Linked DNA regions of Arabidopsis thaliana. The protein of the gene in region 2 interacts with the protein of the main gene of each other region in a pairwise test. Each region holds a gene or a part of one and is shown on either strand. Other genes may lie near its edges. The genes, in order: BZIP34, bZIP43 and BZIP61.

Region 1 (4,550 bases), on a different chromosome or scaffold from region 2:
TTAAACGGCTATTATTCATGGTAACTCCTAAACATAAACGATCACAAAAGTTACCAAATATCAGTGATTATTAAAAATCCCAGAGTTTTGGTCTGCTATTACTTATTTCTTTATTTTTAGACCACAGTACATTTTTGTATACTTTCTTCATTTGTCTTTTTCTTACGTGAGTGGATGTACCATATGATTTTACCATCTAGATTCTGTATGACGTCAACATATTGTTGTTTTATTACCTAAAATAGTTCAATGTCGTTAAATGACATTTTCCTATGTTGATACTACTATTTTTAAAAACCGTTGAGACAGAAAAAGGGTGTAAACAGGCGTTTAATAGCTATAGATTACTTTTAGCCGTTCAAAACAATTATTTTTGTTGATACTCTAGATCACTTTAGAATAGAAATAATCAGAGATAGAGACTATTTTTTTAGTGAATTAACCATAGTTCTTGTTTAATCTGTCTTATTAAAATCAATATAATGTTATGCGAGAAGAAATATGATTTAGAGTAGACAATGATGGAAAATAAACTACTGTATTCCGAATAAATCTTAATTAGTTCACAAATCTCTGTACACTTCCCAAAAAAAAAAAAAAAAAATTCAACTAGTTCTTTGTACAAACAACAATTGATGATTCCCTTCCATCAACCCCAAGAAAAAAAGACGACATAAACAAAATAAATAAGATACATCAAACTGAATTCATCACAACTTAAAAACAATGTGATTAGAATAAAAAATGTATATCTCCTGAATTTCTTACCCGAAAGAGATTTTATAGTCAAGAACTTTTGCCAAGAAGCTAAAAGAGAGAAATGTTGATGATGATGCATGATGGTTAATTTATGAGACATTGAGGAGCTGCTCTGTTTCAACGGACGACTTGATGTCGACGGCCGGAGTAGCACCGGCTCCGGTCGCCGATAAATGATTTGCATTTTCCACATTCGTGAGGCTTTGTTGATTATACACTTGTCGAAGTCTCTCTATTTCTCTCTTCAATGCTTCTTGATGTGCTGCAAAATAATATTAGTTTTTTGATGTTATATTAGCTAGTGAGAGAAAATTATTGGGCGTGCTCATATATTGTCAGTGATAATTGAATGCATCGACGAGAAAATGAAAAATCTCATAAACACACATATATTAATTCCATAATTATCCAAAAAATTTACATGAGAATTAAATCCAAAAGTTACATGAGATTAATACCGTCTTTGAAAAGCTTGTCTTGAGATAAAGCAGCGATTCGTTGCTTGAGAGCGCTGTTGTCAACGTTAAGAAGCAAACGTTGATGATCCAAGAATGCAACTCTTGGCGATAACACTGACACTTCCGCCTTTAATTTCAGTTTTTTTGCCACAAAAATGATTTAAGGTCATAATAAATTTATAATCATGAAATTATTTGAATAATTAAAAGATTATGATTTATGAATGTTTGTATAATGTACCTGCAACGAAGTGACGCTACGTTCGAGCTCTGATATGTATTGCAGTTTCCTCACCCTTGATCTCTGTGCTGATTGCCGATTTGCTAATATTCTGTAGAAACATTCAGAAATATTTATTTTATTTTTGTTAACAATTTAAAAAACATTATATGGTTAGTGATGTGACGCTAATCTTCAGTAATCATATTTTTCAAAATATTTGGTGCATCGTAATCAAATCTGATGAGTTGATATTTTTACGTGCATGCATGTTCTTGAATAATTTTGTTACCTCTTAACCCTTTTGGGATCGAGAATCCGGTTGCCGGAGCTATCACCGGAATTGTTATTCGACGCCGTACCATCTTCTGGCTCCATCTTGCATTGGCTTTGGACTTCATCGTTATAGTTGTTGTTGATATTATTGTTCATGTTATGATCGGACGGTGGTAATTCTTTGTTATCGTCGTTGAAGCTATTGGACGGCGTGGATGTGTTCGAGGAAGATCCCGTGGGCCCCACATTGTTATTTTTGTTGTTGATATGGGAAGGATTGCTATGAAGGTTGTCGTCGTCGGTGAACATCGACATGAACTGTTCGTCATCGAACCTGTCGAATTGGTGGTCTTCGATGCTGACTGTTGGAGCTTCGAGGAATGCGATAGAGTCGCTGATGGAACGACGGTGGTTGCCACGGCGAGACGCTGAGAAGTCGAGGAATTCGTCGACCCATGAGGGGTTTTGTACGGTGGTTGTAGCGGTGGCGACAGCGGTTGCGGTTGGGGTAGAGAAAGGAGAGAGCTTTTGGGAAGAGAAATCAGGCCAATGTTGTGTCATGTTGGGGATTTTAGGAGGGAGTTGTGCCATTGAAGAAAAAATAGATGGATCTTGATCCAAAAGATTACCAAAGAAAGCAAATCTGAATTTACAGGATTGAGGAAGGAAAAAAAAAAAACCTTAATTAATAAGTACAAGATAAACTAACGTAAATCCAATTCAGAAAACCAAAAACCTAGATGAAAAAACAAAGGAAAGAAACGAAATGTGGAGACAAATGGGAAGTGGAATTAGATCAATGTCATGAACCATATGAAGAAGATAGAGAAAAGAAAAAAGGAAGGAGAGGAAGAAAGAAGAAAACGGAACAAGAGTAACCAAAATGGCTATGTTTAACAAATGATAGTTATATAAATAGAAGGAAGTAAAAAAACAGAATTAATGAAGGAGATAAATAGAGATATATATATATATACATGAGATATATATTATGTAAAATCTTATGAAAGAACATAATAAATTCGATGTGATCAAAGTGTTTAATTTATCTCTCTGAGTAGGGCCACATGGAGGGAGATATTGAGATCGGACAGCTATGAAACAGCTGTCTTGAGAAGTGAGGCTAAAGGTCTCAACGGTATAACTGGAAATTCTCCTCCACTGGTTTTTTTCTTTTTAATCTATGTAAAGAGATTTGGAGGAGGAATCAAGCAAGCACGTGTTCTTGTGACCTTTCTTTTGTTGAATGGTTAATACGTTTCTTTCTTATGAATGGTTTTTCGATAGGTTCATGTAAATGCAATATCTCGTATTTGTTGCAAATCATATGTGTCAATTAATAATTTTGGTACATGTAAACCTACGTCAAGCAAGTACAATGAATACATGAGTTAATAGCACACAGTATCATCTATATATAGAATAATAGAATTAAGTCGAGTTGATAAACATGACTTAATTTATTGGAAAACAAATCCGACGACTTAGCTTATTTATCACATATCTTTCACCATGGTAATGGATTATCTTGTTACCATCACTGCTATGAGGAGGGCTAAACAATGCATGGAGAAAGTAGGGTAGTGGACGAGTGGAGAGAGAGTGAAGAGTATAATGTTGATGTGTGAGTCCATGTGATTTGTTTTCTGTACTCTTTTTTTCCCCTCTATATTTGCTTTGTCCCAGACCACACCCACATGTAGGACACTTGCTACTTTTTTTTTCTCTCTTAAATCGTATAATTTTGGATATTTTGTCTGTCCAATTTTTTACTTTTCCGGATCGATAGGAATATTTAACGGAATCTATATTTTTTTGTTTTGTTGAAATGTTAAAATTATAAATCAAACTTGAGAAAGTTATATGTACATGTATTTACGGAATATATAGTCAGTGAATTATTTCTCTAAATGTGTGTCGGACAGTAATCTCATAGAAATATTTTCATGATTATCAAAACCAAACGATTTTGTTTTAAAGGAGGAAATCACACATCATCTGTTATGTCATTTCCAAATAATTCCTTCAAGATCATCATCCCTAATATAACCATTAGCATCTTCAGTTTACAAATATCTTAGCGACCAACCTCTAGCTAAACTCCATGAGCTACTCAAGTTTTTCTTTTACCTCTAAGTCTGTCCTTAACAGTGTGAAGAAGTTCCATCGCCTTGTCTAGTACATAAGCTTTAAGTTTCACCTTTCGACCTAACAGTGTGAAGAAGTTCTTTTACCTTCAAGTTGCACTGGGGACTTGATTCATACAACATACGTTGACATCAGGCTACCATTGCTAGTTCTTGTTTCGAGAGAGAAGCGGCCTATTTACGATTCAATACACATCCATGGAGGTAATATATTACAGCTAAATTTGAAGCTTTATGACAGAATCATGCATTTGCTCTGTATGTGTTTACCTGTGACACTCTTTGTGTTAAGGCTTGGCATATTGCTGTTTATGTTTTAGTAGAATGAAAATTCTTACAGAATCTGCACTGGCGAAATCTTGGTCTGCTTCACTCGTTAGAGGTGACCTTAAACTAAACTATGTGACTAGTTTTCCGTTGAGAAGTGAAGAAAGCAGCTGTCGAAGTGCAACTCAAGAAAATGGAGGTAAAATAAACTTAGCAATAGAGAGCTGATACTGTTTCAATGTGATTGAGAACAATGAGAAGTGAAGTGTTTGTGAATTTGTTTCACTGCAGGAGGAACTAGAGAAGAAGAAAGCAGGAGTATGCAGAGAGGATGAATTAGGTTTCAGTGACTCACAAGGAAGCAGAAGAAAGAAGTGCAATGATTGAAGGTAAGCGTGGAGAAGCAAGAAGAAACGGCTGCTA
Region 2 (3,320 bases):
TCAATGGGGTTTTGTATTACTTTGCTAGGACATCGTGTTTTCTAGTAGTTTCCTTTAATGTTAGGTCTGAGAAATTCAAGTTTCTTGATGGAAAAGACTTCTCTAATTTTCATAGAGAATTTATAAACTACAAGGGTAAATTAGGTGTGACTAAATTGGAGTGTGATGCTGGTGATGGACATCCCCGTGAGTTGTGTGTGTGGGTTCTAGAGGATGTTGAGAAACAGGAATGGTCACAGTATATCTACTCCTTGCCGAAGATTAAGGTCAATCGGATTAGAAACGACAATATTTTCGCAATGTTTTTGCCTTTGACTATATAGAGGATCTTAGTATTGACGATTCGAAGCAACTCAAGTCAAAACCACAACAACGTCGACATGTAAAGAACAAGCAGGCAATCCTCCTGCAGAACAAGTACGATTTACTAGGTAACTCAGAGTGAGGATCTTATCTTGAAAGCCAAGCCAACGAGTCAAGCTATTTTGGTTAAGAGTGTTACTTGTCATTTACAGGTTACTTACGTGTGAGCTTTATCACCCTGTTGGCGTAGAGTGAGAGCAAACTAATATTTTTTTGTATGGTTATCAAAAGGCCTATGAGGTTTTACCTAGGTGAAGAGGGCTCTCTATATCCAATAACTTGATTGTTAAGAAACCGATGTGGTCAATGATTGAATAGTTGAATTGTCAGAATTGATGTTAAAACAAGAAAGTCATGTGATATGAATACCACTGTAGATTGATTAGAGATTTGTAGTTCATTTTCTGTTGAGATCTTATGAACAAAGATTTATGCTTTATTAAAACTAAACGAACACATCAAATATGCAAAAGAATTGGACACTTAGCTTCTTAAATTTGTTTTCTCTCAACCTTTTCAAGGTCTCATTCATAGGTCTGTTTATGCTTCTTCTGTTCTTCTTGATGAGATGCTTTCCTCTAGTACTAATTAAGTCCATCACGTAATATTTTTTTTTTTTTCTAACAACACTAAAAAAAAATTAAAGATAATATAAATTTGGATGGTTATAAAAGCCCATATGTTTCTTGGGTTTCAAAAGGTTAAATTTCAAAATCACCACCCTTCCCCTAACAGAATCTAATTACATAGGTCGAACTTTTAGCAAAATACGACGAAAATGAAGAATTACGCATGATTGCTATATGTGTCAATCCGACACTTCTATAAAATATTATATGCTTTAATTACTTTTTTCTAAATGTGTAATTTTACATGTATATATATTAAACCAAGCTTAATATAATAAAATATTTAAAAGATTTTAGATAGAAGTCATTTTCAAAAAGTGGTGGTACGGTATTAGAAAATGGACATTTTGAAATTTCTCCAAACGTTTACTATTTAAGATGAATAAATTATTAAAAAATGATTTAATTCATTCAACTCAAAATTGAAAAAAATTGACCAAATTATAAAAGTAGTTTGTTCAATTTATTTATCTACTATTTTGCAGAAAAATAAGTTGAAAGTTATTTTAAATTTCCAAAAAAAAAAACACAAATTTGTTTCCTAGCCATTGAGAGAAAGAAAAATCTCAATTATTCCCAGTCATTCATTTACACACAACCATTTTCCACCCCAAAAATTCAACCAAGTTCTCATAAATTTTAGATAGGTTTTAAAAAATAAGTTGAAAGATATTTGAAATTTCCACACAACAAAAAAAAAACAATTTGTTTCCTAGCCATTGAAAGAAAAGAAAAACTCAATTAATCCCAATCATTCATTTACAAAGCCATTTTTCACCCTAAGACTTCAACCAACTTCTAATAAATCTTAGACAGGCTTTAAAAAATAAGTTATTTAGATTTCGTTCTAAGTAGTTCAATAATTTTATAGGTGAAAAAATAGATCGTGTTTTTAAATAATAAATAAAGTTATATAAATACACGTTTTAGCTGCATGATTGTTAGATGCTTTTATATTGGTTTGACCCAAATGAAGAAACCATGGTCCACAATTGTCCCCCTACTAGTCTATATGAACACCTCTTCTCACCACACACACCAAACATTCATCACAATTCCCTAAATCCTACAATCTTTCTTTTCTTCCATCACCTAAGAGTAAACCCTACCTTGCGTCCCAAGTCTCCACCGATAATGCAACCATCCACCAACATTTTTAGCCTCCATGGTTGTCCACCTTCGTACCTTTCCCATATTCCTACATCCTCACCATTTTGCGGACAAAACCCTAATCCATTCTTCAGCTTCGAAACTGGCGTGAACACTTCACAGTTCATGAGTTTGATCAGCAGCAACAACTCGACCTCAGATGAAGCAGAAGAGAATCATAAGGAGATAATAAATGAGAGGAAGCAAAAGAGGAAGATATCTAACAGAGAATCGGCAAGAAGATCGCGTATGAGGAAGCAGAGACAAGTGGATGAGCTTTGGTCACAGGTGATGTGGCTTAGGGATGAGAATCATCAGCTGCTTCGTAAGCTTAACTGCGTTTTAGAGTCTCAAGAGAAGGTTATTGAAGAGAATGTTCAGCTCAAAGAGGAAACCACTGAGCTTAAGCAAATGATTAGTGATATGCAGCTTCAGAATCAGAGTCCTTTCTCTTGCATCAGAGACGACGACGACGTTGTATAGATGATTTTTATTTTTATTTTTTTGGGGCTCTAGTATGTATCAACAAATGTATATCCAGAGATCTGTCTCAGCTTAAGATTTAATTAAGACTCTAAATTAGTAATTGTTAAAGCAGAGTTCTTCAAACTTGTGTTGCCCGTGAATAGAAGTAAGAAATTGTTTCACAATTGTTTGCATAACAAACGATAAAAATTCACATTGCTGAAGTATAATTTTAAAAAAAATTACATGCATAAATATTTTTGCAAAATGTAAATACAAGCATCAATTACTAACAGTAGACTTTCTTCTTTTTCTCTTTAAAATTTTACGTTTATAATGACCAATTTTGTTCTTTCTAAATTGGCTTAAGTAGTGTCTTTGAAAAAAATATACACCAGCCGTAAACGGTTTATTTTCTTCCATTTCCATTTGCATTTTTATGTTGAAAAATTATTAAGAAAAGAATTAAGATTGTGATTAAAATAATAAGAATATGAAAAGCAAATACGTAAATCTAACGCAAACAAAAACAATTAAGACCTTACATGGTTGTGTACTTGTGTGTGAAACTCTCGTAAATCTAATTATGTCAAGCAAAGAAGAGCTTTTATCTGTAGTATTTTAGTACCTTGTATTTTATTTTATTTTAGTACCTTGTATTGGTAGTGCATGGACTGAGGTTTTGCAAGATTTGGCTTAGAAAGCAGTTAATGC
Region 3 (4,918 bases), on a different chromosome or scaffold from region 2:
CATAGCACGTGAACTTACAGCTTAGCCTTCAGATGTCTCCACGTTCTCCCTTTTCTTTCCCTTTTTTCACCCCACATTTTCAGATTTTGACCCACTTTGACCCTAATTACTCATAAAGGTTTGATTCATAAGAAAATAAAACTCACTAATCTTGTTTTCTTTGTCTGTAATTATACAATGTATGACATTCGTGATGTGTTTGTATTCGTTGATATATGTATATATTGATATATCATCTAGATTCTATATGACATCATCTAAATGTCCAGGCCCTACGTAAGGAAGTGGCTACATTAGCTAGTAATACCTTACATTTTCACTTGATTTTTTCGAAGGACAAAAAATGAAAAAAACCTGAGGTTAAAATATTATTAAATCATCATAATTAATTGATTTTTTCTTAACAATGAAATAATCGTACGAGTTTTTAAGGAATGAGAAATCGCTTTCAGTCACTTCAAATATAAATTTTGAAACTATGTGTTAACATTTCATGGTTCACAAATCCTGTTCTTTTTGTCACTAGAAGTTAAACAAGTATATAAATTGTTATATTTGTTTATTATATGGATGATGGCACACATCAAAATTTGAACCATGTGAAAAGAGGGAATCTTTAACTATTCGATTACCCTAAATTTGATGGAAAAAAAAATCATTCGGAAAAAATATCAATTAGTACACAATGCATAGACACTCCAACAAAAAAATTGAATAAACAACAAATCAGCTAAGTTCTTTTTACATATCATTCCCACTTTCCCCCTCCCACTCCATAAGAAAAAAAAAAAAAAACAGATACATCAAAAGCAAATTCATCACAACTTAAAAAAATGTGATTAGATCAAATAAAAAAGGCCATCTTCTTTGATAAATTAATTTCTTGACACAAAGAGGTTTTATAGTCAAGAATCTTTTCGCCATGAAAAGAAAGATCTTAGTGAACGAACAGCTTTAGACATTGAGGAGCTGTTCCTTCTCAACGGACGGTTTGATATCGGCCGGAGATTGATCGGAGACATTATTCTCCATCTTCTTGAGGCTTTGTTGATGATATACTTGTCGAAGTCTCTCTATTTCTCTCTTCAATGCTTCTTGATGAGCTGAAAATATTAAAATTTACAATTATCAGTGTTGTCAATAAACCTAAATATTCAATGAGTACTCACATGTTTCATGTTAACATAAATATCTATACTTATCTCATATATATGTTCACACATGGACAGTTGTTCTAACTTATTAATCATACTAAACTCTATTGATCTTGTGATTCATTATTACTAGCTAGATCCATGTTATAAAATAATTAGCTATAGATATATATAAACCTTACTAAATCTATTCAAGCAGGACAATATATATTTCATGTTTGTAATTTTATGAATCATGAAGCATGCATTGCCGCAAGTACTTCCTTGTATATAGTTTATATTACTAAAGAATAATTATTGGTCGAGCCTATATATTGTCAGTGACTATTAAATACATGGAGCTAGTGAAACTTCAGACAATAATAGTAAAAAAAAACAAACAAATTTCTATAGTTTGATAGTATCCCTGAAAAATATATTCAGAAGAATTTTATACAATGTTAGAAAATTGAAAAAAAGTTCAAAATAGAAAATTACCGTCTTTGAAAATCTTATCTTGTGCTAAAGCTGCGATTCGTTGCTTGATAGCACTATTGTCGACGTTGAGAAGCAATCGCTGATGATCCAAAAACGCAACTCTTGGCGATAACACTGACACTTCAGTCTTCATTCCACAATTTTAAATGATTTGTTGATCAGTATTTAAACTTTTTATTTAGATTGTTTTACATTAATAAACATAGTATATCTTTGTGTGTAAATTAATTACCTGCAATGAAGTAACGCTCCTTTCAAGCTCTGATATGTATTGCAATTTCCTCACCCTTGATCTCTGTGCTGATTGCCTATTTGCTAAAATTCTGTAGAAAATTTCAGCAAAAACAAAAATTAGATTTTATCGATGTGACACTAATTTAACTATTTTATAAAAACGGTGTATCGAATTATCAGATACTATTATAAACTGTACGTGCATGCATGACCTTCCTTGGGGTTTTGGGAAATAGTAAATAAAAATGTTAATTACCTTTTTACCCTTTTAGGGTCGTGAATACGATTACCGGAGCTTCCACCGGAGTTTTGATTCGCCGACGGACCATCTTGTGGCTCCGTCTTGCACTGGCTTTGGACCTCGTCTGATTCGTTGTAATTGTTACCGGCGGCGTTGTTTTGATTGGCTACATTATTGTCCATGTGATGATCATGATCGGACGGTGGTGCTTCTTTGTTGTTGTCGTCGTCGCTAAGGCTATTATGATCGGACGGCGTGGAGGTGTTGGAGGATGAACGCGTGGGACCCACATTGCCGTTGATGCTGTGATGATGATGATGATTGTGGTTATTGTTGTGTACGTCGTCGTTGAACATGGACATGAATTGCTCGTCGTCAAACCTATCGAAGTGGTGGTTTCCGACGCCGGAGGAAGGTGGTTCAAGGAAAGCAATGGAGTCGCTTATAGAACGACGGTGAGTCCCACGGCGAGTCGCTGAGAAGTCGAGAAACTCATCCATCCATGAAGGGTTTTGTTGTTGAGGTCCAGCGGTTGCTGCGGCTGCCGCCGTTGCGGCTATGGAAGGGAGTTTCTGGGAGGAGAAGTCAGGCCAATTTGGCGTCGTCATGGTTGGGATTTTCGGAGGAAGTTGTGCCATTAATAAAGATTTAATGGCACACCAGATTTTTTTGTAAGAGGTCAAATGAAAAACAAAGGAAAGGATCAAAGATTTGAGAGAAACAACAAAAAATTCAAGTGAGGATCAAGAGAGAAATTGAAAGTTTTAGATGATCAAAATGCTAAAACAGATTAAGAACCATTAGAGAAAGAGAGAGAGAATGGGATGAGAAACAAACCAGAGTAACTAAAATGGCTATGTATAACAAAGAGTAGTTATACAAAACAGAAGTAAGAGATAGAAAGAGAGAGGGATGCATGAGATAAGATAATTTTTATAATAGAATAAAGCGAAATAAAATTATATAAATGGATTCGATCTCAAAGGGTTTATATCTCTGAGTGGGGTCACATGGGGGGCGAGAGAGATCGGACAGCTATGAAACAGCTGTTTCGGAAGAAAAATTAAAAAGATTTGAGGTCTCTCTTAAGAGCAAATGGAGAATCAGGCAGCACGTGCTCTTAGTGAACCCCTCTCCCTTAATTTTGTTTTGCTAAACTTATTTTATTAGAGAGACTTTTTCTTTTCAAAACAGTGTATGATATTATTTATCCTTTGGAAACATTCTTATGTTTTGCTCTTCCACATGCTCCCGCCTTTCTCTCCTCCTTTCTCCGCCGTTTGATCATTTCCCCCGCCTTGTTTTCTGGCCGTCCGGCGAGCTGACACTTGGGCAGATGCTACCGGATGCCCTCTCGTATTTCCTCTTTTTAAATTATATGGAAATCATATGAATGTTATGTATATATACCACTAATCGATTCAAGAAACACTTGTAATTAAGTCTAGTTTCTAACTTTTTAAGATTTAACCTATATAAGCTTTATCGAAACATTCAACTTCTTATGGAGGTGAGCAAATGTTTTGGTTAAAATGTTATCATTTGAGTCATTGTCTAGCAGACACAACTTTTTTACTCTTGTTTAACTAGTTTAACGCATGCAGGATTACTATACATGTAAATGCAAAGATCATCATACGTAAGTTTAGGAGTCAGTGTGTATGGACATTAATGAGTAGATAGCATAAGAGTGGCCACTTTATCAAATGACAAAGAAAGAATAGTCCAATACAATTAATACACTTCTCTTTCTGTCCTTCACATGTACAATTAAGCTTATAGAGAAGCCATGTCTATACATATATACATAAATTAGCTCCCTAGCTCTATATATATACTATAAACAATTAAAGAACAAGAAAATCAATCATCAGTTGTAACATATACATAGGAATTTATGACAATGCAATGCTAATATAAGGGAAAAAAAGGCAAAAAGCATTATAAAATGCAAGGGAAAGAGAAGAATGAATTGAGTGGGAGGCTGAGAGTAGTGGAAGAGTGGAGAGATAGAGAGAAATGAGCTGTTAGAAAGAAAAGGAGAAGTGAAGAAGGAACCATGTTCATGTGTCAGAACATGTGCTTTGTTTTTATTTTTTTGTATAATATTTTGTGACTTGTGAGACCTTTCCCTCTCTATATTTTCTTTGTCCCCAAACCAAAGCTTCATGTAGGCCAATCCATTTGATTCATTGTTTTTATAACAGAAGATCATTTATTGGATTAAATTCACTTTGTATATCCATAAAAATATATAGAAATCTCACAAATACAAACTTTTCAAAAATAGATTAATGAGATGACAAAATAAAAAATATGTAAGACAAGTTTGGTTTGATTAAGAATATTTTTGCTATTATGTATATATGTTAAAATACAAGTAGTTACGTTAAAACAAAATTGTATGCATATATATATTAGAACGTATGAAATTATTTCTTAGTTTATGTTCCAACTGTGAACTGTCTATTGTTTCACTATTTATTTAAAATATACAATTCAATTTAATACAATATTTACTACAAACAATCCAAACATCAATGGTGGTCCTCTAACAAAGTACTCTAAGAATATTCTCTTTAATTTTCTACATAAGACCAATCTTCGAAATTTCTACAACAAGCCCGGCAAAAACAAATAAAAAAGCTACAAGTTTAAGGGATTCAACGAGAACTTATAGAAACTGAAATAACAGTTTAATCAATTAGTATTGGACGGCTTTGGTACAACGAAAATAAAACTACTAAAATAAATATAGTTATCAATTAGTTGCAAAGTGTAGTATATAACCATATGGTTAGTTAAAGAGAGA

What was found.
Region 1: the proteins of bZIP43 (region 2) and BZIP34 interact in a two-hybrid assay, tested with the Arabidopsis thaliana proteins (one study listed by BioGRID).
Region 3: the proteins of bZIP43 (region 2) and BZIP61 interact in a two-hybrid assay, tested with the Arabidopsis thaliana proteins (one study listed by BioGRID).

The regions. Positions count from the first base shown.
Region 1 is NC_003071.7:17,646,357-17,650,906, forward strand, and holds BZIP34 (Basic-leucine zipper (bZIP) transcription factor family protein), read right to left. Parts: upstream 2,707-4,550; 5' UTR 2,305-2,706; coding exon 1,730-2,304; intron 1,550-1,729; coding exon 1,459-1,549; coding exon of another isoform or gene 1,429-1,458; exon of another isoform or gene 1,345-1,428; coding exon 1,218-1,344; coding exon of another isoform or gene 1,201-1,217; exon of another isoform or gene 1,022-1,200; coding exon 849-1,021; 3' UTR 529-848; downstream 1-528. UniProt on the Arabidopsis thaliana protein: Transcriptional activator involved in the sporophytic control of cell wall patterning and gametophytic control of pollen development. May play a role in the control of metabolic pathways regulating cellular transport and lipid metabolism.
Region 2 is NC_003076.8:15,537,609-15,540,928, reverse strand, and holds bZIP43 (basic leucine-zipper 43), read left to right. Parts: upstream 1-2,039; 5' UTR 2,040-2,126; coding exon 2,127-2,624; 3' UTR 2,625-2,788; downstream 2,789-3,320. Other genes in the region: AT5G38810 (F-box and associated interaction domains-containing protein), read left to right, coding at 1-323. UniProt on the Arabidopsis thaliana protein: Probable transcription factor involved in somatic embryogenesis. Acts as a positive regulator of BHLH109.
Region 3 is NC_003074.8:21,520,335-21,525,252, forward strand, and holds BZIP61 (Basic-leucine zipper (bZIP) transcription factor family protein), read right to left. Parts: upstream 3,185-4,918; 5' UTR 2,745-3,184; coding exon 2,122-2,744; intron 1,955-2,121; coding exon 1,864-1,954; intron 1,759-1,863; coding exon 1,632-1,758; coding exon of another isoform or gene 1,615-1,631; exon of another isoform or gene 1,332-1,614; intron 1,104-1,331; coding exon 955-1,103; 3' UTR 640-954; downstream 1-639. UniProt on the Arabidopsis thaliana protein: Transcriptional activator.